Yarrowia lipolytica: one gene and its partners. The protein of the gene in region 2 purifies or fractionates together with the protein of the main gene of each other region. This does not show direct contact. Links are inferred from orthologs where the notes say so. Each region holds a gene or a part of one and is shown on either strand. Other genes may lie near its edges.

Evidence for each region.
Region 1: the proteins of YALI1_F11658g (region 2) and YALI1_E01159g purify together in Saccharomyces cerevisiae (affinity purification with mass spectrometry, with the first as the bait; 3 studies listed by BioGRID). This does not show direct contact. The link is inferred for Yarrowia lipolytica from reciprocal best matches to the Saccharomyces cerevisiae genes HRR25 and DIM1.
Region 3: the proteins of YALI1_F11658g (region 2) and YALI1_B11794g purify together in Saccharomyces cerevisiae (affinity purification with mass spectrometry; 5 studies listed by BioGRID). This does not show direct contact. The link is inferred for Yarrowia lipolytica from reciprocal best matches to the Saccharomyces cerevisiae genes HRR25 and TSR1.
Region 4: the proteins of YALI1_F11658g (region 2) and YALI1_C32921g purify together in Saccharomyces cerevisiae (affinity purification with mass spectrometry; 4 studies listed by BioGRID, with this or other methods). This does not show direct contact. The link is inferred for Yarrowia lipolytica from reciprocal best matches to the Saccharomyces cerevisiae genes HRR25 and EDE1.

Annotation. Positions count from the first base shown.
Region 1 is NC_090774.1:112,229-118,987, forward strand, and holds YALI1_E01159g (uncharacterized protein), read right to left. Parts: upstream 3,762-6,759; coding exon 2,808-3,761; downstream 1-2,807. Other genes in the region: YALI1_E01133g (uncharacterized protein), read left to right, coding at 1,133-2,500; YALI1_E01163g (uncharacterized protein), read left to right, coding at 4,086-4,177, 4,457-4,682; YALI1_E01193g (uncharacterized protein), read right to left, coding at 4,965-6,759. UniProt on the Saccharomyces cerevisiae protein: Specifically dimethylates two adjacent adenosines in the loop of a conserved hairpin near the 3'-end of 18S rRNA in the 40S particle.
Region 2 is NC_090775.1:1,162,618-1,170,168, forward strand, and holds YALI1_F11658g (uncharacterized protein), read right to left. Parts: upstream 3,686-7,551; coding exon 3,651-3,685; intron 3,216-3,650; coding exon 1,706-3,215; downstream 1-1,705. Other genes in the region: YALI1_F11635g (uncharacterized protein), read right to left, coding at 1-939; YALI1_F11689g (uncharacterized protein), read right to left, coding at 5,888-6,283, 7,326-7,349. UniProt on the Saccharomyces cerevisiae protein: Protein kinase which phosphorylates serine and threonine residues. Can use casein as a substrate. Phosphorylates elongator complex member ELP1/IKI3 on 'Ser-1198' and 'Ser-1202' which promotes the tRNA modification function of the complex.
Region 3 is NC_090771.1:1,174,495-1,182,143, forward strand, and holds YALI1_B11794g (uncharacterized protein), read left to right. Parts: upstream 1-5,004; coding exon 5,005-7,149; downstream 7,150-7,649. Other genes in the region: YALI1_B11759g (uncharacterized protein), read right to left, coding at 1,364-1,505, 1,551-2,737; YALI1_B11781g (uncharacterized protein), read left to right, coding at 3,704-4,183.
Region 4 is NC_090772.1:3,288,685-3,298,170, forward strand, and holds YALI1_C32921g (uncharacterized protein), read left to right. Parts: upstream 1-3,498; coding exon 3,499-7,395; downstream 7,396-9,486. Other genes in the region: YALI1_C32914g (uncharacterized protein), read right to left, coding at 1,610-2,806; YALI1_C32972g (uncharacterized protein), read right to left, coding at 7,729-8,592; YALI1_C32975g (uncharacterized protein), read left to right, coding at 8,839-9,486. UniProt on the Saccharomyces cerevisiae protein: Functions at the internalization step of the clathrin-mediated endocytosis (CME) as an early-acting scaffold protein. Requires clathrin adapter proteins, ENT1/2 and YAP1801/2, for normal spatiotemporal dynamics and viability.

The DNA of each region.
Region 1 (6,759 bases), on a different chromosome or scaffold from region 2:
CGATATTGTATGTACGAGTGGACACTAATACAGCAAAGAGCGGGCGCAGCACGACTTGGCAGTATCCGTTGTCTACTCGTACTTGTAGTAGTCGCGATAATGATTTGAGAGGTTGCTTACAAGCGGCTTGGGGACAAATAATGAACAGTCGCAACGAGACAAAGACCGACAATATTACCTCGCGAGAAAACGGCGAATATTTCCATCAATCTCTGGCATGCAGTTGTCGTGGGGGTTGACTTTGCGCTGCAGGACCGAGCAAATTCACCAAATCTTCTCTTGGCGTGGGCCTGACAAAATTCGCTCCCCTCTTTTTCGGAATAGACCGGGCTGTGGCGGGTTTGACCGGAAGGAGTAGACGTAGCAACAAGTTGAAAAAAAAAGTACATTTTTCGTGCCACTACATGCCCTTGTACGAGCACATACAAATTTGAACCGCATTGAACATGGGACAAACTACAAGTAGCGGTGAGTATGTAAGAGGCACGTATTGGACGGCAATATATGTACGGTAGTATTCGTACCTACATTTGCGCTAAGTGCCGCCGTCCACCTACATACGATACATGTATACGTCCACAGGCTGTAGGTGGTACCTGGTGCTAATACATTTATATGCATTTAAACGGGCATAAAATAGATGTATTACATTCGGGGGAACTCCATGGGCTCTTGTTGCACGAAAAAGTGTGACTCAACAAGGGTCTCATCTGCCTAAAACAGAGCACTCATGCAGACAACCGACATCATGTGCGTATGCCAAGCCGACGGTACTGTGTTTTTCCCAATCAAATACGTTAAGTGGACAAGGCCATATCTCATGCCAGATCCTGGTCCCTTTCTATATAAGAGATGATCTGGCACATTAGCATGGGCTTCTATAACTTCAACAGCGACCTTCGTCACCATTATTGCCCGGGGCCAATAAAATTAAGCACTAAGATAAAGACTGCGGCTGATACCTGATGAGACCAAGCATAGACTAAAGCAGCAAAAAAGGGACCATAATACTAGTATTCAACCAAATCAGCAGTTGCGGCAGTTTCAACATTACACGTTCTTTGAACTTTTATAAGAGCCCAGAGCCTTTCGCTTCATTCTCTTCTTTTTCTACGACACAGCCATCTCCACAATGAGACTGGTTTCATTTCTCCCATTATTGCTGATCCACACGACAGCAGCGACGTCAGCAGATACCACAGCAGTAGATTTGTCAGACTTCTACGCAGGAACAAATCCTAGTGCACTTGATTCGGCTATTTCAGTGCCCGAGGGAAATTACAAGCCCAAACACGTGGTTCACATTTCCAGACGACGTCTGATATGCAGAACCAACGAAGATACAGGAGAAGAAATCTGCAAGGTGGACAATTCCGACCCCCAGGAATCAATCATCGAAGAAGTTGATTGTTCCAAGAAGGAGAGAAACACCAATGTTGGTCTCAGAGTAGGTGCTCTGTTTGCTGTGCTCGGTACTTCTGCTCTGGGCGTGTTCCCTCCAGTGCTGGCTGAATCCATCTGGAGAATCAATCTCGAAACTCTCCCTATGACCTTCATCAAACAGTTTGGCACAGGTGTCGTTCTGTCCACTGCATTCGTTCATCTAGGAGCTGAGGCTACCGAAGAGTTCAACAACCCCTGCATCGGAGAGGTTGAGTACAAGCCTACTCCCCTGGCCTTTGTGCTGGCTGGCCTCTTCATCTCCTTCCTCATTGAATACCTCGGAGCCCGTCTTTTGAGATGGAGAGCAAACACCCTAGAGGCTCGACGAAACGAGAACCAAGACTGCGAGGAGACCAAGTGCGGACATGATCACGACCACGGCCATATTATTGACAACACTGGAGGAGACACTGAGGACTCTGACAATGGGGGAGAACCCGTTCAAGAGATTGTCGAAGATGTTATTGAAAAGGCTCCCTCTCGTCTCTCTTCCTCTTCTGTCAGAAGAAGTACTACTCAGACAACTGCTCCCCCTCCTCCTATCGCCGGCGGATGCCACTCCCACGGTCTCATTGACCCCACTGATAAGTTTTCCGTCTGGATTATGGAGGCAGGTATCATTTTCCACTCTGTTCTGGTTGGAGTCACCGTCTCTCTTGCTGAGGAGGACACCTTCATCACCTTGTTTATTGCCATTCTGTTCCACCAAATGTTCGAGGGTGTTGGTCTAGGGTCGCGTATTGCTGGCCTGAAGGAGTCTCGCCTCATTTCCAAGTGCCTCATGTGCTTGTGGTTCTCCATCATCACCCCCATCGGCATGGCCATTGGTCTTGGCGTGCTTGACCACTTTGAAGAGAACCCTACCACTCTGTGGGCTCTCGGTAGTATCGACGGTCTCTGTTGCGGAGTTTTGGTGTACGCTGGTGTTGTAGAGATGTTAGGCTTTGACTGGCTGTTTGGTGACCTCCAAGATGCTCCTCCTCTTCGAGTCTGCGTTGGCCTTGTCGGGCTCACTCTCGGAATGCTGCTCATGTCCCTGGTTGGACACTGGGCCTAACACTGTCGTCATACATGTGTTACAGGTATATGACGAATAAAATAAAAAACATAGATATTTAATTGCATGAATAGTTCATTGGAAGTGATGAGTGTAGGTCAATTTGTAATTATGTGATATCATCATACACCCCAACTAACATACTGTAATGTACGCTACCCTGAGTACAGTACAAGTACAATAACATTAGTTCAGCGGTACAGTGAAAACCGTTTATTCAATAAATAGCGCCGGAGGTCGGCTATGTCGTAAGATTCTCCTTTCTTCTAACCTTTTTTGTGTGTACAGTAACGTAATATCGTACCTTTTAGGCAAAGTAGATGCCAGCTTTGTGGAACTCATTCAGCAGAGTGAGAAACTCGGTCTGGTCACACTTTGCGGATCGCATTTCTCCGATGCCGGTGTCGGTGAGAATCTTGTTGATCTTCTGCTTGACAACGTCAGAGAGGTTGGATCCCTCAGGAATGATCTCGCCCTGGGTGGAGAGCCAGGTCTGGTAGTTCTTCTCGAGAACTGCCAGAACAGCGCTGGTCTTGAAGCCGGCGTTGATAGTCTTGTTCTTTCGAACGAAACAGACTCGCAGAAGACCATCCCACTCGTTGAAGTCGATAGGAGGCCGGGGGTTCTTGACCTCAATCTTGACGACCGAAGACTCAACATTGGGAGGAGGTCGAAAGTTACCTCGGCCGACCTTCATGACGTGAGAAACCTTGGCCCACATCTGCACATTGACAGACAGTCGGCAGTACAGAGAATCACCGGGTCGAGCCAGAAGACGCATGGCAAACTCGTGCTGGAACATCAGCACTGACACTCGCGGGGGTCGAGGCTGGTTCAGCAGCTTGAAAACCAGGGGAGAAGAAATCTGGTAAGGTGTGTTGGAAATGCAAACGTCAAAGTAAGGAAGCTCTGTCTTAATACAGTCTCCCAGCATGATTTCCAGTTTCTTCTGCTCAGGCTTGCCCTGCACTCGCTTGGTCAGCTCGGCAGCCATTCGAGGATCCATCTCCACAGCAATCACCTTTCGAGCCTTCTCGAGAATTCGAACAGTCAGGTTACCAGTACCGGGACCGACCTCCAGAACGGTATCACTGGGCTTAATGTCGGACTTGTCGACAATACCCTGGGCCACCAGAGGGTTTTTAAGAATATGCTGACCGAGATCAGTGTTCATTTTGAAGACGGCAGTCTTTCGCTGCTCGCCGCCTGCAGACTCCCTCTGGGCGCCTCCGGAGAACTTCTTTGCTGGTGCCTTGGCCATTTTCTTATGCTGTTGTATAGTGGTTTGTGAACTGAAAAAAAAGATCCAAAATTTATTTTCGATTCATGCATGCAGAAAAAGCTAACTGGCATGGCACTGAGCATGCACAAAGAATCGCCCCCAGAAGTGCCTTAATAATCAAAGAAGATTGTTTTGAGCGTTTCCTTTGCAAACACCCGATTTTGTTAGAATGGCATACTTTTAATCAGCCCTTCCCCAAACATCAAGTTCACAATGTAACTCCAACTAACTCTTAACCTATCAGAATGTAGAGATATGCAAGATTGTGACATGGTAGAATAAGCATCACATCAACACAATACAATGGCCAAGAGAATCAGCCGACCCACAAATCTGAAGAGCAAACCACGACCTCTGCCAGTCGACATGCTGGTTCCTGCCGACAAGGCTCGAGGGTGAGTTGAAGGAGGGAGGTGCAATAAGAGAGCAGTATTGATGATCTGGAGTGTACACAGACCTTGCCACAGCGACACAGATACGATGAACGTACCGCTCTAGAGAACCAACACTAGAGCTTGAAGCTTTTTTGTTTACTGGTTTTTGCCTCACAGTCGCGCCATAGGATCTTGGTATATAGACGCTACCACAGTCTTGTGATACACTGCGGTACACTTGTGCTAAGCTTGGGTGAACTGTGTTTTGACATTGCTCTCATTATTCGACTTCTAACACAGATTCAAGATGATCCTGCTGTCGCTCCCTTTTGTGGTCCTCTCGTCAGTCATTCTCTACAAGCGTCTATACATGGGAGAGGACAAGCGCGTTCAGATTGGTGAACAGACAGAGGAGGGCATCCGATGGTTCACGCCTGAGGAGATTAAGAAGAAGGACGAAGAAAAGATCTTCACCAAGGTCTTTGGAAATGAAGACTGGCTCAAGAACAGCAGGACTAACAACTAATCCACCCACATATTCGTCTGTATTCTGTATATAATATATATTTTTCGATGCTATAGAAATGGTGTGTATACGTAGCACTGCCAGAGCGCTTTGAAAACTGTAGAATTGAAAAAAGATCCATATCCCTCGGTACTGTACCTGTACCTCATCAACAATCCTCCTGGTCAAAGGCTTTGTGTGATTTGTAGTCAAGGGGACGACCTCCTGTCACACTTAGAATCAAAGCCTTAAGCTACGTCCCCACCATAGGCCACGGTCAACGCGATCTATGGTTGAGAATTCCTACCGGACCACTGGTTTGGCGATACGCACGCCAGCGTTGGCAAGAGACATACCATCACGAGAAGAAGCACCTCTAATGCCTTCCCGAGACACTCGTCCAGAGTGGTACGAGTTGTATCCTTCTCTTGACACTGCTCGAGGAGTACTGGGAGGCATCAGAGATTGACGCTTCACAGGTGAAGGGAGAAAGGAGCTTCGGCGACTGTTGCTGCTTGTGCTGGACTCGCTACGTCGCCTAGAGGCGTCGGTCAGGACGGGGGTGTCGCTAACCGACCGCATACCTGAAAGACCGGCAGCTCCAGTTCCTGAGTAACTCAGACGAGGCTTTCGAGTAGGAGTAGCCAAGGGGGTCGCGTAGGAGCCTAGTCTAGATGACGATCGGCTGGCAGGCCGGTTTGGAGAAGGTAGGGGAATGAGAGACTGTCTGCTTGAACCGTTAGGCTGAAGAGAAGGAGTCTCACCTAGCTTCACTGTAGAAGTAGAACCGATAGATGATCCAAAAGACGTATCGGAACAAGATGATAGCGAGCAGATGGATGCTGAATCGGGAGTGGAAGGTTTGCTGCCCAGTTGGGGGTATCTGTGGAGCAGTCTGTTTGGAGAGTTAGTAACGGGAATGAAAGATTTAGTTGTCTTGAGACTTCTAAACTTGTTGAAAATGGCAGCATTGGGAATGGGTCCGCTGTTGCAGCCACACTTTGAGTCCTTAGAGTCCCTCAAAGTGGTCCCTTCGCCTAGAGAAGCTGTAGGAGACTCAATAGACTCCAACGTCTCCATGATGACACTCATATCATGCAACGGAGACTTCTTGTGTGAACTGGTGGATGGAGGCAACTGAATGTCTTTGAGAGGTACCACTGGCTCCGATGCCTCCAGTGCGTCTGAGTCAGGTGTAGACACAATCACTGACGAAGAAGAAGAGTTGGATAAATCAGAAGAGGATATGTTTGCATAGTCGTTTCGCTCCTGAAGCTGTTTGTCGCTTTCAATTTGCTGGTTCAATTTGCTGCTGTCGATATCTCGAAGTACGTGATTCTCGCTGGTTGAGTGTCGTTTGATCACAGGCTTGGGTGAGAATCTGTCCAGAGACACAACTCGCATATGCAGTCTTCTATTGACGGGAAACTGGGGTGCGAATGACAGCCGTGGCGAGATGGCTCCATGATCCGATATCTCTGTGGTTTCAGAGCACTCGGAGAAGATTGACGAGTTGGTAGACAGTCTCTTAGTCGATAGAACCTTAACTTCCTCCACAAACATGTTCTTGTCGTTGCAGACTCGCTGGAGAACAGTCAGTAATGCCGCGTCGAGATCTTCACCGAGCTGGTCGATGGCCAACTGCAGAATCGAAGACCATTTCTTGGTCGACAACTCCTCATTCACCAATGCAAACTCCCCCTTAAGATTGTGCCACTGCTGTTCCAGATTGGTCCAGTTCATGTTCACCAGAGATGAAAATGTCGGGAAAATGGGCTCACATCTGGAAGAGAACTGGGCCACCCTCTCGGGAATGAAACCGAGAGACACAGTCAGCGGCTTAATCTTGGTATCGTTGAGTTGACAGAAGGTCTCCTTGATACTTTTGTCCTGACGAGTCAACCAAGGGTATACTTCTTTGGCCACATGGTCGAGTTGGGATGCAGAAATCTGCCCTGTGAAACTAGACTCGAGCCGTTTCTCCTTGATCTCAAAGACCGTGCTCATGCATTGACTAATTTCCGCGTCGATATGTCCAATCACTTGTTCACACAGCTCAGTGTACTCAATAGCCACTTCCATCTGGTGACACAGTGTC
Region 2 (7,551 bases):
GGCCTTGACTCCAGACTCCTCAAACACCTCTCTTCGCACAGCATCTTCCAGAGACTCGGCTGGCTCAATGAAGCCGGCCAGACACGAGTACATGCCCGGAGGGAACCGCTTGGACCGTCCCAGCAGGATTTTGTCTCCTTCCTTGTTAACCACCAGCATGATCACACAGCAGTCTGTTCGAGGGAATGACAGGTAGGTGATACGTCCCCGAGTAGGACAGTCCTTACATTCCACACCATTGTCCTTCTCGGGACACACAAGTTTGTTGCCACCGTTAATCACCATGGTCTTATGTCCACATCCTCCACAGAACTGGTTTCGCTCGATCCAGTCCAAGTAACATCGGGCCTGGGCAAACGCAGACGGGTCCACGGGTCCTCCCAGACGAGCCTGGATCTGTGGCGAGGTGTAGTCGGAGCCGGGATGCTTGTCCTTGAGCTCGTTTCCGACCTTTCGAACTCGCTCAGCCAGGTCGTCGTTTCGGATCTGTGTGACCGTAACATCGACAGCAAAGTACGCCACTCCGTGAAACCGGCCGTTGGTGGTCTCGGAAATTGCCGGATCGCCTCCCTCGGCCTCTTCTCGAATTCCCAGGAAGACCAGAGCCGCTCGTCCTCGTCCCACGGCGTCTCGTTCGGACGACCAGCCGGAAATGAAGTCAGCCTCGGATTTGGCAAAGGGTTCGCCAACAATGGTCTTGACGTCTTCATAGCCAACATAGACAACGTCGTGACTCTGCCGGCCCTCCCGCTTCTCCTTGGGAATCTTCATCAACAGGGGACACAGTCCGTCCAGAACAATGAACTTGGTGTAGCTCGAATGGAGCACCTTGTCCAGAAAGGCATAGTCCTCCCGCAGCCACGACAGCCGGTTAAGAGGGTTGCCGGAGTAGTACGAGTGCAGCTCGTCACCATATCGAGTATTGAGATTCTTGGGCATGTTGTCTGTTCAGTGAAGAGATGATGGTTTGTTCGATCCCGAGATATCTACTACTTGTAGTACTTGCGAACCTTGATGCACCCCTCATGCACCATCGGCAAAGACAGGTACAGCCGAAATGAAAGCAGTGCAAACTCGGCAAACTACGCGAGCCGGCGTCTAGAGACGAAAAAGGGACCATCCAGGAGAATAATCAATGTCAAATAATGCTCTCTAGCCTGGGAAACCTTCAGAAATATACCACATATAAGCCAGCATAATCCCACCGTCTGGCACAGGATGGATCCACATACACTCAACCCGCTTGCATGCATATTATCACCCAAAGTGGGGTAGCCGGAGCGCCAAATGTCACACCTGACCTGAGTCCGTTTGGATCACGTGAAAATGACAGAATAATTATTGGTAAATCTCGGTACTCGTGTGTTCTGTTCCATACATACCAACGCCTTCCACGCCAAAGTTATTTGAAACGTGTCGATTTCTCTTTTGTTGAAAAATCAACTTTCACAGTCCTCCCAATGAGCCGAGCCATATAGCCGAACACTTCACACACACCCCTTCATCCGAACATCAGCAATAAGTACAAGTTGGTACAACCGTAGTTGTAAGTACATACTATACTCGTAAAGGTACCGTGAGTACAACATTACCACCCGCGTCTTCGCTAAATATAATCACTTAATTACATAGCCGTCACCTTCTAACTCATGACACATTATTACTTACTAGATTTTGGTTCAGTCACACACTCATGCCAACTCCGCTAGATCCAGGGAGTAGCGCCATAGTCGTCGTGACCTTGTCCAGGAGGAGCCGATGCACCGGGCTGTCCAAACTGTCCCAGCGGTTGCTGTGGCTGCTGCTGTTGTTGCTGGGGAACGCCCTGCTGAGGCCCACCGGGAGCGGTGCCTGAGCCGGCAGCGCCGCTGTTACCCTGGCTGGTAGGGCTACCCTGGATGCGCTGCTGCTCCCGTCGTAGCCGTGTTCGCCAGTCGGACTGATCGGTATCTGCCTTCTTGTCGTCGTAGTAATCGAGCTGCTGGTTCTCAATGTCAAAAAGTCGCAAAGGGGGAGGAATGTCCCAGTCTCCAATTCGGGTCTTGAGATCTGGCCGCTGGGATGGAGTCTTGGCTCGCATGCCCTGCTGGGGAGGCACACCCTGGCCCTGGGCACCTGCTGCCAGAGCCTCGCCACCGGCTCGGGGAGCCTGCTGAGGTTGCAGACTCACCTGCGAGTTGGAGGCTCCCTGAGAAGCACCGGCGGCGGCAGGAGAAGCGGAGTCCCGCTGCTGCTGCTGCTGCTTGTTGGGGTCCTCGTCCTGACCCTGGCCGGCTGTGAGCTGCGACTGCTGGGCTCCCTCTCGGCCTCCCATGCTGTTGATGACCTTTCTGTATCGGAACACGGTCCAGTCGAACACGTAGTCGTATCGGTAGTTGGATCGGATGAAGAAGTCCTTCATGAGGCGACGCAGATAAATGTAGTCTGGTCGGTCCTCGAATCGCAACGATCGCGAGTATGACAAGAAAATGGCAAACTCGTTGGGCAGGCCCTTGGTGAGCGTGTCTGTGCTGGTGGTCATCTTCTTCTCCATGATCCGGTCGTACTTCTGCTTCTTGGTTACTGCCTTGAGACCCTGCCACGGGAGCTGGCCACGCATAAAGTAGATGAGCACGTATGCCAACGACTCGAGGTCATCTCGACGCGACTGCTCCACGCCCAGATGCGTGTTGATGCTGGCATAACGCGCCGTGCCCGTCAGGTTCTTGTTCTCACGGTAGGGAATATGCAAATGGGTTCGGGGGTCTCGGAATCGCTTAGCCAGGCCAAAATCTATAATGTTGACCTGGTTGCCTCGGCGGCCGATGCCCATGAGGAAGTTATCGGGCTTGACGTCTCGGTGGATGAACGACTTGGCATGCAGATATTCGAGTCGGGTGATGAGCTGGTCGGCGAGAAGAACCACCGTCTTGTACGAGAATCGTCGCTCGCAAAAGTTGAACAGGTCCTCGAGCGAGGGGCCCAGCAGATCCATCACCAACGCATTGTACTCATTCTGTGAGCCAAACCATCGGATGAAGGGGATGCCGGTGCCGCCGGCCAGAGTCTTGTACACCCGCGCCTCGTACTCTAATTGTGGGTGTTTAGAGAAGATGTTTTCCAGCTTGATGGCCACCTCTTCGCCTGAAATGATGTTGACGCCCAAGTAAATGTCGCCGAACGATCCGCTTCCGATTTTTCGCCGGATCTGGAATTTGTTTGCAATTCTCACGTCGCTGGGTTAGTATGTGTGTGATTAGTTGATGTGTGGGATGGGCGATCGTGCGAGCAATAGTGCGAGCAATTTGATGCAGCAGCAAAGCGTGGGGGGGATGCATCGGGTGGTTCCACGGCTGCTCCGCGGAGGAAAGTGCAACGCCAGACCATTCGTTGCCGGTGACATCTATAATATCACATCGCACATGATGCAGTCACATAAGTCAAGTGTCATGAGATGGTGGGTGTGGACAGCCACGACGATAGCAGCGGCGAGAGACTGACACCTCAACAGCGTAGCATGTCATCGTCAGCATGTCATCACCATCACCATCATCATCACATCAACTGCCACCCTTGTCACCCATCACCATCCATCTCCTTTTGTCATTCATCACCCTCCTCATCTCATACCGCATCACGACAGCTGCCCTGTCGCGGCAGACAATACTCACTGTAGAAGCGACGGAACCGAGTTGCTAGAAGACATGGTCGACGGTCGGGGGAATGTCTTGGTCCGTGAGGGGCGATTTGGAGCTTGTGCTTGTGTCGAAACAAGTTGTTGATTTTGGAATGTGGGTGCGGATGTTTGTGGTCGCTAGAAAGTAGAGTCTGGTAGATTTTGTTTATTGAAGCGTGTCCAGAGAAAACAAGAAATAAAGTACTCTAATCAGGTGACGTGGGCGCCGGAGTAAGTGTCGCTTGTTGGGCCGGCCAAACTTTGGTTAGTGGAGATTGGTGCCGCTCGCTCTCGGGGTGTTATGTCCGGGGTCGAGAGGGTGGTTGTATGTGGTAGGGGCTACGTTTCTCAACGACGATGGGTGGTGGGAGAGGGGGAAAAATCAGGTTGGGAAGGGTTAGGGTACAAGAGCAAAAAAGGCAAAACCCGCCGACTACTGCCTGGAATGTGTATTGGGCAGTTTGATGACTGTTCAGAGGTTATCTGGGAGGCGCCGGGTCCCTATTTGTGTCTGTTGGCCGTGGTTGCCATCTGGGCATTTTCATTGGGGCAAAAAAACCGATTTTTCCCCTCCAAAAGCCGCTCCCACAAACCCCCCTTAACTCTTGTCACGCTCTCTCCACGCACACTCACCTTACAGTGCACTCTCTCTACACTGCATATTGGTGCCAGTATCACTGGTACATTCACTCGTATGTACTGTAGCTATAGTATAGTGCTTGCAAGGAATACAGTCCCCCTAGAATAACCTTGGTAGCTTACAAACAGAACATACAAGTGACAAAGATGATATATATTAAGACACCGAAGACGGAGAGCCCCTCCCCAGGTATAATGCTTAGTAATCCCCGCCTGAATCAATCTAGATCGGAAGAGAGGGTCAGCAGGAATTACGCACCACAAAATCTATATCTTGCAGCAGCCGACACGGACATGCGGCGACACGACCGTCAAAATGCACAAGAACTGCCCAAATCAAATGTAACATTGTTCGGGAGGGTAATGACGGGAGCCAAGCTTGTTTTGCGGTGTCTCCAGTACATACGATACATATATGAGTATCCATATGGCTACAGTCCTGGCCCATGGACTGATGATGGACAGTCGCCCTAGTGCCAATATTTATTAATTACTCGCACAAGTACAAGTACAAGTACATTAACTGGTAGCTACTAGGCTGTAACTACTGTTCTGTATCCCTTCGCTGTTAGTCCCTATTAATAAAATGCTTTCTCAAACGGGAAATTACACTAATTATTCACCTGCTGTACAACACTATATATTATCCAGACGAATAAAATAAAACAGTCAAATACCACCAGTCAAATACCAACAGTCGCTGAAATTAAAAACGCTGAAATATATCTACCCATACACGCCTGATCCAATCCACATGATCATCCTCCCCTCATGCTCACAACATGCTCTCAGCTCTTAGATCGTCTCAGATCATGTCAGATCATACGTGTTAACTAATTATTGGACGGCACCATGGACTTTTAACCTGCCATTACACTTGACACCCCCAAGTGCCTTACACTAACTACAGTATCATGTTTAATCACCCTCGAGATATTATACCGTCTTTCAAGAGACCCCACCAGCTGGGCACCGGAAAAAAACGGAACAAGCAAACGTGGACATGAACACGACATCTGTATTCCAACCACCGGTGGGAGACACGACCATCACCAGCTACTGGTAGAGCAAAAAACGAGCTGCGAAAAATCTAATTCTCGTGACTCGCCAAATTCAAAAAGGACCTCCTTATCTCTCACACACACGCGAGGGCCTGCATACCAGAAGTTAATCAACACAGTGACACGCTTGTGCCGCTCGTTAGACAATTATTATTACAGTGAGTACAAGTACAGTTGTGCAGGTATGTGTACACAATGTGCAATGTGCTCATTCACAACACATCTCTCGCAAAATCTATATTTAGATCGATATGCTGCACGTAATTAACACAATGCGAAAATTAAGCCACACTAACACCATGACCATGACAGCCACTGTCCACTTTGTGCTACAGTATTTAGCATTATTTACTTGTACTCGTAGCGTACTTGTTACAAATAACCCCTATGAGACATGTATTATTAATGTGCGTGATGTTACAATGAAGTGACCGGACCACACTCACCTGCCAAAATTAACCATGACGAAAACAGATGAGCGGGCAAAAGATAAAACCCAAAACCAGATATGTCAGAAACGAGACAGACAAGCTTAGGCGGTGACGTTCTTGACGAACTTCTTGAAGGACATGGACAGTCGCTTGAGGGCGTTGGGCTTCTTGGCCTTGACGTCCTCGGCAACCTCGTCAGCCTTGTCGGCAGCCTTAGCCTCAGCGTCCTTGGCCTCGGTCTGAGCCTCCTCAGCAGCGTCGGTGGCCTTGGCCTCAACGTCCTTAGCCTCCTCCTTGGCGGCATCGGTGGCCTCAGTGGCCTCCTTGGAAACAGAGCCGGTAATCTCGTTGATCTTGTTCTCGGCCTGGGTCACGGCGTCCTTGGCGTCGGCGGCGGCGTCCTTGGCAATCTCCTGGACCTCGCCCTGAGCCTCCTTGGCGGCGTCAGTGATCTTAGACACGTCGGGAAGGTTGGAGGTGAAGTTGGAAGTGGTGTTCTGGGTTAGTAATCATTCGTATTTGGCGCGAGTCCTGGGATGCTCTCCCAGAAAACGGCAGAAAAAGGCCTCACTAGGACCCTTGCGCACGGAGCTTCCACGCGTTTCCAGACAGATGGAGCTCTGTCTGGTGCGCATCTAAAAATAGACCCACAGTAGTGCGCTCACCTCCTCAACTCTAAATCATCGTCGGTCGTCAGCGCGTGCAGTTTCCATCTGCATGCTGGGCCGGGCCCCTATTTCCTATTTTCCACACTGGTTTCGCATGTCAAAGCCGCATGCAGCCGGCATTTTTGCCTTTGCCCTGTGATCGCCGTTTTTCTTCATTTTTGGGTAAATTAGCTCAACGCTCTTGTCCCAATGCTGCATAAAGGTCATGCGATGTCAGAACAAAGGTTGGTGCTAGTCATGTGGTGGCAAAAACGGCTGTTGGTGCCACGGGTGGCTCCCAGGGGTGGAGGGAGAGGATGAAAGAGGTAATGCAAGGGCATAACACTGCAGCTGAGGGAAAATATCACATGGACCAGGGCACACACACAACGGATAGGCTCGACCGGCAGGCTGCGGCTGACTCATGCACGTAATGCAATTGCACCCAAGGTTGGGAGTGTAACTGTACATCACTTTTGGGCGCGTGTGAGGCTGAGAGCAGCCGCGTGCATGGGCTGAGTCGTTCCGATTCCCGCGGGCGTGGGTCCATGGCGATAATATCATGAGGCAATCTCAGGCGGTTTGTGACGAGGAGAAACACATGTTTGGGGCTTGTGCGGGAACCCGGACAGTCGGTGGCGTGCATGTGTATCGGGGGCTAAAAGTCTGGGCAAGCGTTTGTGACACAGTTGACAGGCGCATTACTGAGAAGCGGTTGGTTCTGAGGGGGACTCCAGGAGCTGAATTCACAGCCGGAGGCTGTCTCAGAAGGCCGCAGACTCGGCAAACGGTCCTTCAACTGGACACAAAGTCGCCAGGGGCGTTGTCGGGGCCGGAGCTCTGTACACTGTGGTGGGGGAAGTCGTCGTTAAGCAACTCGGGAGATACTCACCTCGGTGGTTTCGGTGGCGGACATTGTTGTTGTAGTGATGCTTAGTTTAGAGCCAGGGCAATAAATATGGGGAGGGTGGAGATGGAGGTGCTACAGTATTTATATTAAAGCGGTTTGGGCGAGCCGGAGGCTCTGGCTTTGTGGTATAAGGGACCTAAAAGACGTATAAGCTAAATCGAAAAGGGTAATAGGGCGAATAGAGGAGTTTGACTTTTGAGATTGGGTA
Region 3 (7,649 bases), on a different chromosome or scaffold from region 2:
AGCATACTCCGTCGGAAAGTCTGATGTCGGCTCCCGCCCCCTTTCCGGCCGGTCAGCGAGTCGGCCTCCGAGATACAAAAGAATGACAACTGACAGATCACGTGTCTTGTCGCGGTTCTGGTTTGTCGCGGTTCTGGTTTGTCGCGGTTCTGGTTTGTCCTGATCTGGTCTTGTCGCAGAAGCAATAGCTGCTATACTACACCCTTCTTTTAACGTCATCCCTCGTATCTCATCCAACACTACCTCCTCCAACGTTACACTGCCGAGTCTTGCACCTACTCTCAAGGACCCACCGCGTATCACCACCGCCGATCAGGGGGCAGCCGATAAGACGTTGGGGACACCGTCTGCCGGCATAGCCCAGGCCGTATCGATGAGGTGGATCTGAGACGGGGGTATTCAATGTTTCGTATGTCGATGCAGTACGAGACCGATATTGGTAAACCGTGGATGGTGTATTCGTACAGTACCGGCCATCTTTCAAGTACAGTACATACTTGTACTGTGCTCGTGCCCATACAGCACTTCATCGCACTGTATCGTACAGTATGAATGTCGGATCGGAACCCGATCCACCTCATCGCCCCGAACTGGAATAATTAAACCCTCGCACCCCCGCTGAGACAGAAAAAGAAATTCGTGCTGCCGAAATTGGTCCACCATACGAGGTTGCTACAACACAATAAGCGAGCCAGTGAGCGCTATTTCGGGAGAACCGCGGGGTTGCACCAGGTCATGTGATCTCATCTTCCATGATTCGGTACCGTCACGTGAGTTTTGGCGAAACTCAACTCCCCAATATGGCGTCTATATGGACATGCTAAATGGAGGAGAGATAGGAAGAATACCACATATGGTGCATTACTTGTAGTAGGTAAAGAAAGCTCAAGTAAAGACGGACGCCACCATACAGCACACGGGGGTCAAGAGGCGTCACATACCCCAACAATAAGACACCAGCCGGTCCAAGACCTCCCACGTTCCCCTTGTTAAATCTTTAACAAAATCAAACTATAATGTCAAGTAAATTACAAGATATGCACCACGTCACCCCATTCGATCTTTGAAGATTCCACAGATTCCACTGACATCAGAACACAAGCAGTAGGTCTATTTTCAATGAGATTGGCAATAACACAATTATTGTACCGTACCGTCGCCACTAGTCCCGAGTGGCCACCTTCCATGAGATACCCCATTGTCTTCAAAGAGATCACCTTCAGATGTATCGTCACAACATCACAGGTAACTGAAACAACGCTCAACCGCCTCACACACATACAAATACCCGGCGGTCGCTCCCATATCGGACTCATTACGCCACTACGTCCCACTGTTCGTTCTGTCATCAATAAAAATGCTATTACAATGCTATAAGGTCATCAAGACGTCTATGCCAATCCCTCGCAAACTGTGCGAACCGTTGCAAACGGCTGCAACCAACACCATGAAAGACTCGTACATACTCTGTATGTATCCTATGCTCCAGCTCGAACTCGTAAGCACTCGCTTCGCGCGTACTCTGCGGCTCGTTCGCTTACTGCAGCAACTCGTCTCGGTAATGCTTCTGGAAGTTGTTTCGTCGCAACTCCCATGCATCCTTCCTGTTGGCAACCCGCTTCTCCTCCTTCCAAATCTTCTTCTGCTCTCTGAAAGCAGCAGGGTCTCTGACATCGGGCCGTCGAATGTCCACAGCATTGACAGTGGCTTGGCCGTCTCGAGGCTCGGGCTTGAGAGACTGTTTGTAGTACCGGGCCATGGATCTGTGTCCGATTCGTGCACCGGAGGGCAGAGCCAGCTGGGTGCCGGTCTCGTCGGTATAGAGCATTCCGTCGTCGTACTCGTCGTCGGAGTTGATCTCCTCATCGTCATCCTCCCAGTCCTCATCGTCGTTGGCCACGGCATCAGAAACAGGCAACTTCTTATCATAGGACGAGGTGAAGTCGTAAAAATCTCCCAGCTCGAGCTTCTCGTCCTCAGACTCATAGGGAATTCGCACGTGGCCCTTCATGAGCATGTGCTGTCTCACAGACTCGAGCGATCGGCCCACAAAAGAGCACGACAGACACTCAAAGCCGAGACCGACCTTCTGGCCCAGGTAGGACATGAGCCCGGCGAGATCGGTAAGATACTTCTGCTCGGGAATGTACAGAGAGTACTTTTTGGTCATGTGCTCAACGTTGGCTTCCACGGAGTCGTTATGCACGCCGCACACCACACAGTCCGTGTTGGGGATGGCTCGTCGCAGTGCCAGCTTGTTGATGGTATCTGTGTCGAGATGCTTGACGCTCTGCAGGGTCTCTTCATCGAGATTAAGGTGCTTGAGCTTTGTGTTGAGGTCTTCAGATAGGGAAGAAGACACATCCGAAGACTCGTCTCCGTTTGTGGCAGTCTCGTGGATGGCATCGCCCTCAGTGGGAGTATCAACGCCCGAGCCGTAGCCCAGAGAAAACTCAGACGCCTGGGACTCGGTGGGGGATGAGGGTCGCACGACTCGTCGGGCCATCCGCTCCTGGTACTTCATCTCCTTCTTTGTGATCTGCTTCTGTCGTCGCTCGGGAACAGCCTCGGACTGCTGGAGCACCTTGGACGCAAACACGTTGGCAGCGATGGGCAGCAGACCGGCCACCTTTCGCTTGAGATTGTATCTGTGCCAGTCCGTCTTCATGTGTTCACGCTGCGTTTCCGAGTTGGGAAACTGCTGAACACACGTGTTGCATGTGTATGTTGTTGACATGGTCGTTGAAGTATTTCTGTCTTGTCGTAAAAAAATTGTGTTGGTGGAACACTGCTAAGTCATGAGAAGATAGCCAAGTCTATATAAGAGATACCATGCAAAAAATTCAGAGTATCTAAACCTAGTTGCAAACCTTATGCAAGTATGATCGCAAGTGTGATTCTGGAGCAACCAAGATATGAGGGGGATAGCGCGGACTTGTCAACACAAGAGTGATACCAGAGTGACCGTCTCGCCTCTCCGAGTCGATCGGTGGTTTCAGATTGTTCTTAGCTTCCCCACACACCGAAATGTACCTGAGCCACTCTCTCCGCCTTGATCTACGTCTCACCCATCTTCTAGATGATTCCTAACAGCATAGAAACTGCAAGTGTGACTAGAAAAGAGCATCGGAGACGGCTGAAGTCCATGGTGAGTTCCGAATGGACTCTATGGGATCGATAGAGTTGTTGATACTAGTATTTCAAACGGAGTGTGGCTGAAACATCCCATATGCACGGCTGGAAGGTGGGATACAGTGGAGGGAGGGAGGGGGAGCGAGGTGTTGGCTATCTGAGCGTTTACTCCTGCTACTGTCCACTCTGAAGATCTACAGCCAGATGCTACAGTATAAAGGCTGTATGTAGTTTCGCTGTCTGCTTTTTGTATGCGCAAATACCGATATGTACTTGTAGAAAACATTCTAGCCCGAATCCAAGTCCGTGATATCAACGGAAATCAAAAGATTTCAAGCGATAATGACCCTTTGACCTATCAGGCAACCGCCAAATCATTTACAGTGTCTACCGGTATTCTGTTCTACAGTTTCTATCCTCTCCATTGCTTCTCTATCCACTACTTGTAGATCCCTCCACCACTACTCGGACGAACAGAGCTTCCAGATGGAACAAGAAGGAAACACGGACTTTTTACCAAGAATGAAGCACTCTATTCAAGAAAGAAACACTCCGTTTAAAGGTCTTGGAGATGCTAAAGCTCCTATGTACGGAGTATGTACTTGTACGCTTCTTCACGCCAGTCTTAAGTCGAGATAATACTTGTACCAGTCCGCCCAGCCAAAATCCCGCCTCAAGCACCGGCTACAAATGTGCAAGTAGTCTGACAACTGCCCGGTATGATGTCCGTCTCTCCATCATCTCCGTCACCGTCAAACCCCCAGCACTTCCCCAGTGGTCCTGCCGCTTCGAAAGAAGTACTAGTAATGTACGTACAGCAGGAGATCCCGTGATGCAGACTAGGATACGAATACGAGTATGTACATCTCTTGTACTGGGCTTGTATATACACAGAAAGGTACAAGTACAAGTAGCATCAAGTTGCCACATGAAGCACCTTTCTACAGTCGGTCTACAGTCTACAGTCATCGTCGGCTACGCTCAGGATTCGCTCAGTGACATAGATCTACTACGCTCGTCGACTAGTCGAAGAATAATTCATTTTTATTGATAAATACTCATGAGAGACTTATCGGAACTTGGTGAAACCAATGTCAGCAGCCTTCTCTCGGAAGGACTGTCGGCAGAGGTTGAGGCCGTACTTTCGGATAACAGCGTTCTGGTTGTTGGTGATTCGACACTTTCGACCGCCCTTACCGTAGTGTCGGGGGTGGGAGAACCAAATGTTTTCGTGAGCCATCTTAGTTAGTAAATGTGTGTGTTTGAATCTGGTGTTTTACGATGAAGCCAGCGGATCGGAAATCAACCACCTTCATATAGAGAAGGAACCGGCAGATTTTTGCAGTCAGAGTTCCGGTGGCAAATGGTGGCAAATGCGGGACTCAGACATTGGTGGGGGACACACACACGAATCATGTCATGATGCTGTTCACGACCAACGACAAAATTCACACAATCCCACCAGCCATGCCCGTGTTGACCTCGTCGTTCCGGCAGCAAATTCCCGAACGCTCGTTCATCGTCGTTTCGTCGGTTTTCACCTCGCGTTCCCTCAATCCCTATCGCTTTCAGTACCCACCTTGAATATCTGTCGTGGTTTTGGTGTCAAAGAGAAGTTTCAGAAAATCGATAAATGCTCCCAGCAGGACTGCAAACTCTGCGTTGGGAAATTCACGTGACTAGGGTTTAAAAAAGTAGGGTTAATTGAGAAGTTGTGGGTTCGATTCCCAACGGTGGCCATTGTCGTCAGTTCGATTCCAGGCACCGTCAAAACTGCCATAAAATAAACTTCTAAAGCTTAAAAATATTCGTGCATGTGCAGCCAAAATTTCGACCCTCTATTCTTCACATACGACGACATTGGATAACGAAATGCACTCACATCGATCCAGTAAAAAGTCGCAGAAGCCATTCAAGTCCAAGCATGCGTCCAAGGGCTCGATCAAGGCGTTGAACAAGGGCAAGATCGAAAAGGCGTCTGCCGGAAACAAGGCAGTCAAGACTATGGGCAAATGGGACCGGCGGAATCAGAAGGACCAGATTCGGGCTGCCAAAATGGTCGAACTGGCAACGGACCGTAAGCTGTTTGACGGCAAGAGCGGTGCCCCCAAGATTGTCACTGTTGTGGGCATGAGCGAGGACGTTGACGTGAATGGGCTGGTGTGCAAGATGATGGGTCTTGAATCTCTGCAGTCCAAAATCAGCACACACGAAGTCGAGCGATTCAAGCAGAAGTTCACGGTGATCACCCCGTCGTTGGACAACTTTCTGGAGGTTTTGGACGCTGCCCGAATCGCCGATTTTGTCATCCTGGCCTTCTCTCCTGTCGCTGCCTTTAACGACTCGGAGTACATTCTCAAGTGTGTTGCTGAGCAGGGAGTGAGTAATGTCATCTCTGTAGTCACAGAGACCGGAATGCTCACCGACAAGAAGCGCGTCGAGCGAATCGACGAGATCAAGACCTTTTCCGACTACTTTTTCCCCCAGGACAAGATTTTCGATATTGAGAACGCCACCGACTGTGCCAACCTGGTGCGAAACATTGCGCAGAAATTCCCCAAGGGTGTCAACTGGCGTGATCAGCGTGCTTTTGTGCTGGCTGATAACGTCCAGGAGGTTGACGGCCAGGTGTGCGTTTCAGGCGTTGTTCGAGGCAAGGGTTTCAATCTTCTGAGAACTGTTCATCTTCCCGGATACGGCGATTTCAAGATCGCCAAAGCTGAGGTGTTGAAGCATGGACAGGCCGAGTTGGTCATTCCCGGTGAGGACGTTTTGGCCAAGAATGACGGTGACGATGAAGATATGGACATGGAGGAGGATGACGTCATGGAAGAAGAAGAAGAAATCCAAGACCAGCAACTGGGCGTAAAAGTCGACGGGCATCATTACTTCCCTGACACGGCGCGAGAAGCCATGCAGGAAAAGTACGCCAAGCGCCGAGTCCCCAAGGGCACGTCTGAGCAGCAGGCCAAGTGGCTCATTGACGAGACTCTCATCAACTCTGACGACGAGTTTGAGGATGAGCAGATGGAGGAAGATGAAGTTGATATGGATGCTGAAGATGGCGCTCACGTTGAATTTGACATGGACGAGGAAACACGTCAGTTGGAGGAATACAAGAGCCTCCGAGAAGAGCTCGATTTCCCTGATGAAGTCGAACTCAAGCCTGGCGAGTCAGCCAAGGAGAGATTCGCAAAGTACCGAGGAATGAAGTCGCTTCGAAACTGGGATGCCTCTCAGGATGACTACCCCGAGGAGTACAAGAATTGCGTCACCTTCAACTACAACGCCATGAAGAACCGGGTTCTCAAGGACTCCACAGACCTGCAGCCAGGACAATACGTCAAGCTTTACATTGAGGCTCCCGTCAGCATTGTGTCCGAGGCCCAGGAACACGCAGACTCGCCGTTTGTTGTCTACGGACTGCACAAGTACGAGTCGGACCAGGCCGTGTGTCATGTGACTATGAACCCCTGTTTTGACCAGGAAGAGACAGCTCCCATCAAGTCTAAGGACGAGCTCATTTTGCAGCTTGGACCTCGACGACTGGTTGTAAACCCTCTCTACGGAACCGAGTCTACCATTGCCAAGTTTGACCGGTTCTTGACCCGGCCCTGTATGGCCACATACATTGGACCTGCCACCTTTGGCAATGTTCCTGCCCTGTGGTTCCGAAAGTCGGAAAACGGCGCGATGGAGCTAGTTGGAACCGGCTCGTTCGATTCCACCGACCCCCGCAAGATGCTCATCAAACGGGCCGTGCTCACCGGCCATCCCTTCAAGATCCACAAGAAGCTCGTCACCATCAGATACATGTTTTTCAACCCCGAAGACATCAACTGGTTCAAGGCCGTGCCGCTCTTTACCAAGATGGGCCGATCGGGCTTTATCAAAATGTCTCTAGGTACTCATGGATACATGAAGGCTACTTTCGACCAGCATCTTAACGGAATGGACACCGTCGCTATGGCTCTATACAAGAGAGTGTGGCCAAAGGTTGCCAGAGAGTTGGAGTAGACAATTATTAAATGCATTAACAGTTCAATTAGCAGTCCAGTTGCTCGTAGAGAGTTGAACGGCCACTACTGCACACTCAGCACTGTAGCATTCAGGTACATGCCCTGGTAGAGGGATAGAGATAGGATGAAGGGTAGTTTTCATGGGGTGATTTATGGAGTTTTTCAAGATGAGCACAACCATCTTTACACCCAGTCAGTACTCTGAAAGCTGGATTGTTCAAGTACAATCACCCAAGTAAAAAACCATGGTTGGGTTTTCAGAAAATGTCAAAAAAATGTCACATTTGGCCATGTTCTCGACTCAAGAAAGGGATTCAGGACACAAAAAGTAATCTAGTACTGATTTTATACCCACCAGTGTTCTTCTCATGTCTCTGGCATGCCTGGAAGTTGTGGATTGAGCCCCAGTACAACTTCTGGCATAACTAATTTCCAACTAAATTTAATGAAGGTTGATTGCAAATTACCAGTAGTAAAAAAAAAACAAACCAAAAAACA
Region 4 (9,486 bases), on a different chromosome or scaffold from region 2:
GTAGTGTAAGTGTAGAATCAATTTGCTATCTCGGGTAGGTCGGTATATATATACTTGTGGTATTTCACTGCACATGGGGTGCATCTTTACGTTGTGTGGGGTACATGAACAAACCAGTTTAGCCTGCCTCGGCTCATGCATTCGGGAGACAGCCTTTGTGAAAACGTGACTTGGGGAAATCCGGGGATAAGCCCCACATGATTTGCAAGTCTACGACATACACGCTTGGTTCTTGGTCGCTGTGTCGAGCCGGAATCATGCCATATGCGATCAGCGTTGAACTGTATCCCTGATACGAAACCTAGCCAATACCGAGGGTTACCAATAGCACATGTCTACTGTACGATACTTGCACCGATAGATCCGGTTCCGGCAGCTGAGACCAATTGAAGCAATTTCGGGTACATCTGTAAAGTCGACATTTTGCCCATGTCTCTTCCAGTTGGACTTGGCCAGTCCTTGACGAAAATGCTCACAATGGCCCGAGCCGCATGCTCCCAACCTTATCACAAAAGTCAGGCGGTTTATCAGGCCACAAGCAGGTCAATCAGGTCATAACCTTGCTGGTTTATATACCCCAGAATTGCCACTGCCGAGGCCGAAACAAAACCAGGGGAATCCACGTGCTTATGGGGACGATTGTGATTTCTACATCGTGACTTTGCTTTGAGTGACGACGTGGTGGTCGTGCGGGGCCAGAGTCTCCACCTCTTCTGATGTGTATCTCGCTGTTATCGGAAATAAGGATCTTGGCATTGCTCTGAATTTACGCGGATCGATATCAGCCCGGGGCTACTAGTACGACATACTGGAGCTCTGAATTTGTCGTTTCAATGCCAAACATCTCAATCGAACTACCCACCAATCACAATCACAATCACAATCAAATAACCCGGAGAATCCCCTTGGAAATCTCCATTTCCCCAGACCAACATGGTTTCGGCACTCCAGGCCATGGCCTGGTTTTTGAAACCGTTGAAAGCCAACCTAAAGACGACTGAGGAAATGTCCGATGCCCTAACCTCGAGGAAGCCGGGGACGAACTGCTCACCTTAGCGAAGATACAAGCATTCTTGGGAGTCCACCATTTGATAGCTGCCACCCAATAAAGCACCATCGGAGCCGTGTATACATATTGCGGGGTAAATTCCTGATGGTTTGAGTCCTTTTCAGGTACAGTACCGTATGTACTCCTTGTGTACAGTATGTAGCCGGCACTAAGATCACCTTCAATGTTATTGGTGAGGCTCAACGTTTGTGCCGAAGCCGGGAGAATTGCCAATAGACTATGTCACGTACGAGTACCGGTACAAGTACAGTAAGGCGAATGTGATGCTTTCACATGTCTATTCGCACCGTATTGAATTGAAGTTATAGATGGTATGGTGTGGTGTGATCCTTGAGGTATTAGGGGTTTGTACGTCATGGGTACCGAATGCCTGTAGCGGTACAGTACATGTACATTACCTGTATGTGATCCCATACAGATGGTACGTAATGTGTTTTTGCACTTTCGGCTAAAGTGGTGTCGTCTGACTTTGTGTATTTTTACACATGCTCCTGTGTTTGCTTTCCTACTCCGTGTTTAATCTGGAGATTTTGATGCAGCCTATGTAGTTCCATTAGTGCCTCCTAGGCGAAGAAGCATGCTCTTCGAGAAACAAAAACAAACGAGTTCGTCCTCGTAGAGCATGATGCAATTGACGTCACGGTCGTGGATGATATGTGACATGGAGTCGCTCTCCAAATCGAATAGAACCTGAGACCCCGCAAAGCTCTTGATCAACAGGTACTTTCCAAAGCTATATGTCTTGGACGCAGCGTAATGCACGGGGTTGTTGATGATGCGACACAGATATGTTTTTCCCTCTTCAGCATTGCAGTATAGCTGGAAGAGCTTCATGTCCTTGCACAGATAAAGATACTCACCATGCACAGCAAAATTGTGTGGAATGTCGTAAGGGTGGCAGTCAAATAGAGGATGCACAGTGTCGGAGTCTCGACCCACCACAAATAGCTTTGTGGCCTGCGGTCTTAGCGACATGAGACTGGTGGTTGTGAAGAAGGCGTGTCCATGGACGATGTGCAATCTGATGTCTACTAACTTGCGACCGGCGAAAGGTAGTCTCAGAAGTCTGTCACCTCTCAGTAAGAAGACCTGTCCTTGACGTCTCAATAGGGCAAACAATTTGCCGCCCACCACCGTCTGGTGAGAAATGTCTCCTTCCGGAACATCAAATTTCTGACCTGTGTAGGTTTTCAGCCCTCCTTCAACTACCTCGGGATCACCTAGCAAGTATCCGTCCATGACCTTTTCAGCTCTCAAAGTCTGGCAATTCACTCTTGTTACCTGCGGTTCAGTCACATCACTGCTCATAGAAGGCGACATGTAAATGCTTCCATCCCCTTCTGGTGACACCCGAAACATGGCGCTATCCAATTGCGACCGTTGGGTCTCAAACATGACCTCTCCGTCTGGATCAACCGCCTCTTCGTGTTCAAACGCAATGTCGAGATCGGCCTTGAATTGTACCGAGGGAAACGCTGCGAGAATCTCGTTGGTGTCGTAGCTATTGATTTCCGTATATGACTGCGGTTTTGTCACTAAGTACCGTGCTGTGGCCTCCCAGGTCTCTTTAATGGGCTCTGTGAGCCAGGGACATATGCTGGTGGCTGCTGCCTTGAAAAGCTGGTGTTCCAAAATGGCTTGTCGGAAGGCCGAGCATGTTTCACTGACGTTGATGAGTGACTGTGTATCCAGCCGAGCGAATATTTGCACACTGAGTTCGGTTGGAAGACGAGACATTTGGCACTCTCACGATAATGTCACGATTCTGAGAAAAAAGGTAGCGCCGCTTGCATGAACTTCATGCATGGTTATCGTGCTGAGTGAGACTAACAGATGAGGGGCGTCTGAGCGGTGTTGGGTGCCTAAACTAGGTGTGTTTACACGACGTGGACTAAAAGCGGTTGGCGATTAATAATGGGGCAATTGTCCATCTATATAAGCGGAATCTCTGTCCATAGGAGGAAATAAAGTCCAATGACCCAAAGCAGACAAACGGCTTCCGATTCGGTCGGCTCGGAAATTAGTGTTTATCTCAAAATATGAAGGCTGCTGGAGCCCTATTCATGTGCTCTCAAATATCCACCGTACAGTGTCATAAAGCGCAAAAAACAAAACAAAAATAACAGATACAAGTATCTCAAATATTTAACGATGTGAAAATTGATATACTTGCACAAACCCCCGGGAAATATCACTGTACACCTCCTCAAACACAACCTATCCACGGCACTAGCTACCCCCCACTCCCGTTAAAGTTCACGAGGGATCATTTTGAGGAGATAGGCTGTGACGTTTGCCATACAGCCACTCCCAACACGTGACCTACAGTTCATGACGCTGCAGATGCCAAGTCTCTCCCCGTAAACACCGCAACCACAGCCACGGCCAAGTGAGTACCCCTGAAAGGACCATTGAGGTCAGGTGACGCCATGAGTAATTCACTAACACAGATGTCAATCAACCTCACGCCGGAAGAAAAAAAGCTCTACGGTTCGCTTTTCAAGACCGCCGACAAGGAGAGTGTCGGCATCGTCACCGGAGAAGACGCCAAGGTGCTGTTCCAGAAGTCGTCGTTGTCGCCTGCGATTCTCGGCGAGATCTGGCAACTGTCCGACACGGAAAACTCGGGCTTTCTCAATCAGATTGGCTTCTCCACAGCTCTTCGACTGATTGGCCATGCTCAGTCCGGAGCTCGAGTGTCCGCTCAACTCCGAGACACGCCTGGTCCTCTGCCCAAGTTTCAGGGCATTAATCTGATAGAAAATCAGCGGGTGGCCTCTCCAGGCAATGCCGCTTCTCCTATCCAGCATCGAGTCGCTTCTCCTATGCAACAGGGTACTGGTGCTCAAGGAGGCCTTCCCCCTCTGAGCCCCCAAGATAAGGCCCGGTTCGCTCAGCTGTTCTCTCAGCACGCCCACAACGGTCTTGTCGAGGGTTCTGCGGCCCGAGACATTTTCCTCAAGGCCCGTCTCCCCCACGAGACTCTGGGCCAGATTTGGAACCTGGTGGACTCCCAGAATCGAGGTTCTCTCGACCAAGGAGAGTTCATTGCCGCCATGCACCTTATTCAGAGCTCCATGAACGGCTCCATGCCCCAGGTCCCCGCCCAGCTGCCCCATGGATACATTGAGAGCGTGCGTCCCCAGTCTGCCCGAATTTCATCTGCCAGTTCCGTCATGTCCACGGGCTCCAACGCTGCAGGTCCCGGCGTCATCAGACAGTACACCGGCCAGCAGATTGGTCAGGGCAACGACTGGAGCATTTCTCCCCAGGAACGACAGCGGTACGATGGTATTTTTGGTGCTCTCGACAAGAAAAAGACGGGTCTGATCGGTGCCGATGCCGTGGTGCCCTTCCTGACCACCTCACGACTCCCTGAAGCCACTCTGGCCCAGGTGTGGGATCTCGCTGATTTCCATAACCGTGGCGAGTTTGGCCGAGCCGAGTTTGCCATCGCCATGCACCTGGTTCAGCAGAACATTGGCGGTCGAGAACTGCCCCAGCAGCTGCCCGAGTCCCTTCTTAAGGAGGTTCAAGGTCAACCCCAGCAGCAGCAGCAGCAGCAGCAGCAGCAGCGAGTCCAATCGCCTCCCATCTCACAGCCCAAGCCTGCGCCCCCCAAGTCTGCTCTCAACGACGATCTGGTCCAGCTCAACGACCTGTTTTCGTCGCCTCCACCACAGCAGAAGCAGTTTGTGCCCTCGTCCGACTTTGGTCAGAAGATCAACAAGTCCGTCGAGGCTCCTCAGTCACCCATCAAGTCGCCTATCCAGGCCCCCGTCCAGGTGCCTACTCCTCAGCAGATCCCTACTCCTACTACCCAAGGCAACCCTGGCCCTCCTGTTGCTCCTCGAAACATCCACTCTGACGATTTGTTGTCTTCCAACTCGGAGTTGTCTAACAAGTTGTCCACTGCGTCTACCGACTTTGCCAATCTGTCGAACCAGATCGGCTCTTTGACGTCCCAGACAACTACCATCAAGGACCAGCGAGCCAAGGCCGAGAGCGAGCTGGCCGCCATGCAGACGAAAAAGAAGGACATTGAGGCGAAACTCGCCCAGCTGCGAACCCTGTACGAGACCGAGGTCGCCAAGGTCAAGCAGGTCGAGCAGGAACTCACTGCCGCCAAGGCTGATACTGACAAGGTACAGCAGGAGTTTTCTATCGTCGACGCGTCTTTGCACGCTGTCCAGTCGCAGCACCAGCAATTGTTGTCCGCTTTTGAGGCCGACAAGGCCAAGAACGCAGAGATCAAGGAAAACATTCGGTTGGCCAACGAGGAGGTCAACAAGACAAAGGAGCTGCTGGCCACGGCCGAAAAGGAGGCGAAACACCAAAAGAACCTGCTGTCCATCAATGACAAGCAGCGAAGTGCGTTGATGGAGGAGCATGCCAAGATGCAGGCCCAGATTGACGCCCATAATGCTGAGGTTGAGGCTGCAAAGCGGGAGCTTGAGCGACGAGCCCAGGAACCCGCTCCCGTGGCTCCCGACATGTCTCGGATGCAGGCCATGCCTCAGGTCCAGCCTCGAGCTGTTCCTGCTCCTGAACATCGGGCGTCTCCTAACAACCCTTTCTTTTCTGTTGCGGGAGGTGCGGCTCTTGGAGCAGCTACTGCTGGTGTTGCTCATGCTGTCCACGGTGTTGGAAACGCTGCTCAGGGCGCTGGCAACGCTGCTGCTGCTGGACCTCCCCCTGTTTCTTTTGGCGGACAACCCCAGACCCAACCCAAGATGGACGATTTCGACGAGGCTTTCAGCCAGATGGACGCTTCACCCTCGCAGGCTCCTTCTCAGGCTCCCTCCGACACCCCCATCTCGTCTGTTCAGTCTGATTTCAATGAGTACCAACCTGAGGCTGCAGGTTTCACTCTGCCTCTCGCACGACCACATTCTTCCACCTCTTCTGTCCAGAACAACGCTCCTCTGTCCGTTCGAGGCGAGAACTTTAGCCGACCCGACTCTCCTGTGTCCAACATCACCCGTCTGAGCGACTCCACTGCCCCCATTCCCTTTGAAGGTTCTCGAGAGCACGATGAGGTGGTTAAGACAGCTAACTCTGGTCTGACCGGTGATACTATCGAAGCTCATGCTTCGCACCCCAGCATCGCCTCCAAGGAGACTGTTTCTGAGCCTCAGAAGCCGGACGTTGATGGATTGACCGCTCAGTTCAAGAGCACTGAGCCTTTCCCTGAACAGCCCTTTGTCCAGCCTTTTGGTTCCAACCCCGCTTCTCAGCCTGCTCCTTTCAACCCCCCTGCCCAGTTCACTAGCGAGCAGCCTCACCCCGAGACCAACGCTGCGCTCGAGCAGTTCACCGACAAGGCCGTTTCGGACCAGCCCGAGTTTGAGAAGGCCGCCGAGCCCTTCCCCGACCAGCCGTTTGCCCAGCCTTTTGGCCCTAACCCTACGCAGCTGGAGGAGGACTCTGGCAACGAGTCATTCGAGTTTGTGTCTGCTGACGAGAACGAGCACTCTATCAACGAGATGCCCCGTCGAGACAAGGGCAAGGCTGTGGTTGACGACGACTCTTCTGACGATGACGAGCTGGAGGAGATTGGGGTCAACCGGTACAAAAACTACCAGCCCAAGGAGGTGCACCATGACGATACTACGTCGGACGTGGTTACTCCCCAGCACGAGATTACTCAGCCTACTTTTGCCCCTGCTGTTGACACTGCTCCTGGTCACTTCCCCGACCAGACTGCTGTTCACGATACTGCCCCTGGTCATTTCCCTGAGCCAGCTGCCGCCCCAGCCTCTTCTCAGGGCTTTGCTGCTCCCACACAAGCATACCCCTCTGCTGCCGAGGAGAAGGCTGCTGCTGCTGCTGCGTCCAACAATGACAAGGAGCTGCCCCCCAACCCACCCACATATGACGAGAGCGAAGGCCCCGGCTCTCCTCATCATGGTGGCTCCACTAACGGCTTCTTCGGTAACCAGCATGCGCCTGCTGCATCTGCTAACGACGACTTTGACGACGCGTTTGCCGATCTTGAGGACACCAACGTGGAGGCCAACAACTCGATGGACCAGTCGCAGTACAGCACCGACTTTAACAATGCGTTTGACGACATGAACCAGGCTCCTGCGCCCGCTAATCCTCCTGGAAACGACGAGTGGGAGCAGATCTTCGCCGGTATGTCTTCCGGCCCTGCTCCAGTCAGTGCTCCCTCTGCTGCTCCCGTTAGAGCATCTTCTCCTCGATCTCGAGCTGTTCAGGAGCTGACCGGAATGGGTTTCTCTGAGGAGAAGGCCAAGCGGGCGCTGCAGAAGCACAAATACAACGTTGCCGAGGCCACTAATTACCTTTTGGACCAGAGCTGATCTCTTTTTATGATGATATGTAAGTAATTCATTAATGTTTAAATGTATTATGTGATTATAAAAAATGCAGTACTTTCACCGTAGCGAGTAGTGATGATGGTGGAATTTACTGTAGACTACAACTACGGTATGTACTCATACAATACTTTAAGTAGCTACCTGTAGCTTCTGGTTGCACGGCATGGACCACATTCTGTGAGACTGTGACCTTTATGGTCAGATAGTCCAATAATGCCGTATCTGCCGCTTCTATGTTACGTTTTGAAGCTGTACGTCATCTGTTGTTGCTAAACGTGGAACAAATAAATAATCTATTAGTACAGTTCACCCCTCCTATAATGCCTTCCAACTTTCGTACAGTTCTGCCCGCTCAGGCATCTCCTGAGTAGCAGCTGTGGCCTTTGAAATATCCGATGTCACCTTGTGCAACTTGTCGAGCGATGTATGGACTTGGTCGTTGTTTTCCTTGATCTTTTGTCGGTATTCATCATTCTCCTTCTTGACTGTCTGTGCCAGCTGTTTGAGCTTTTTGATTCGTGCGAGTTTAGTTTCCCGTAGATGGCTCTTGATGATTTGATCTGGCGTCAGTCTATCGACATGGATAGGCAGATCTGTGTTTGAATTCATTCTGAGTCTGGCGTCTTTGACCAATTGATCCAACTGGGCCAGTTTCTCCGGGAGATGTCGTTCATCGAAGATCGCGTCGAATTCCGTTTGTACTGAGTCCGTCCACGCCTTGCAGATCTGCTTAAGGGCTTCTCTGAGTGCCTCCTGACCAGCAGGAGTCTTTGCAATGCTTGGATAACACGCCGCCACTCGTTTGTAAGTGAGCGACTTGACTGCATGGGCCAGTGCTGTGGACGAGGATGTGACTAAACGTCTGTAACGTGCTGATTGGGGGATTGCACGTGTATTGGCTGTTGTGGTTGTTTGTCCCTCGGTCGCTTTTGTTGTTTGTGTTTCGTTCACTGTTGTTATTCGTCCTTCGCTCGTCGCTTGTGATTCACTGGCTTGTGTCTGCCTCTGTCCCTCCCCTGTGTGTGTCTTCATGGATGTCGCTTCCACTTCAGCTACACTTATCTCCATGGTTTCTGGGTCAGGTGTTGATGTAGACAGTGTCTCGGATTTCTGCGTCTCAGTCTCCTGAACAGATTGTGTCTTTTTCGTGTGTTGTGTCCCGTCTTTTTCCATGTCCATATCCTTCTCCGTGTCTTGTTGTTTTGACGTGTTTTATATCTGCCGCGTTTTATTTACCAGCCTTGCACAATCTGACGCGTTGCATTGAGCGACTTAATGTGCAACCCCACGACTCGAACCCCCAACGCCAAATGCTGTACAGTAGCTTCTTTCATCTCCAACCCAAACCCTGCCCCCGTGCAGTTAGCGTCTGTATGACGTACATACAAACCTCCACACCTAGATCGATCACCCCCATACCACGCAATGTCAGACGTCACCGCTCTCATTGCTAGAGCCGATAAAAAGATGACCTCCTCCGGAGGCATGTTCTCATTCATGAGCGGCGGCTCCTCGACCCGATTCGAAGAAGCAGCAGACCTCTACACCGAGGCCGCAAACCAGTACAAGTTACAGCGTAACGGAAAGCTTGCTGGAGAGTGCTTTGAGAAGGCTGCTGACGCACAACTACAGTCCGAGAGCAAGGACGAGGCCGCCAACTCGCTGCTCGAGGCTTACAAATCATACCGGTCCAACTCACCCCAGGAGGCCGCCAAGTGTCTGGAGAAGGCCATTCAGTTCTTCACTACACGTGGTCAGTTCCGACGAGGTGCCAATTACAAGATGGAGCTGGGAGAGCTGTACGAGAAGGAGCTGGAGGACATTCCCAAGGCCATGGAGGCCTACACAGATGCCGGAGACTGGTTTTCCGAGGACCGAGCAGAGACTCTATCTTCCAAGGCATACCTCAAGGTGGCGGAACTGTCTGCCGAGAACGACGATCTGTTCAAGGCCATTGAAATGTTCGAGATGGTTGCCCGACGAAACCTCAATTCCAACATCATGAAGTGGTCGCTCAAGGAGTATTTGTTCAAGGCTGGCCTGTGTCGAATTGCTGCGGATCCTGTTGCTTGT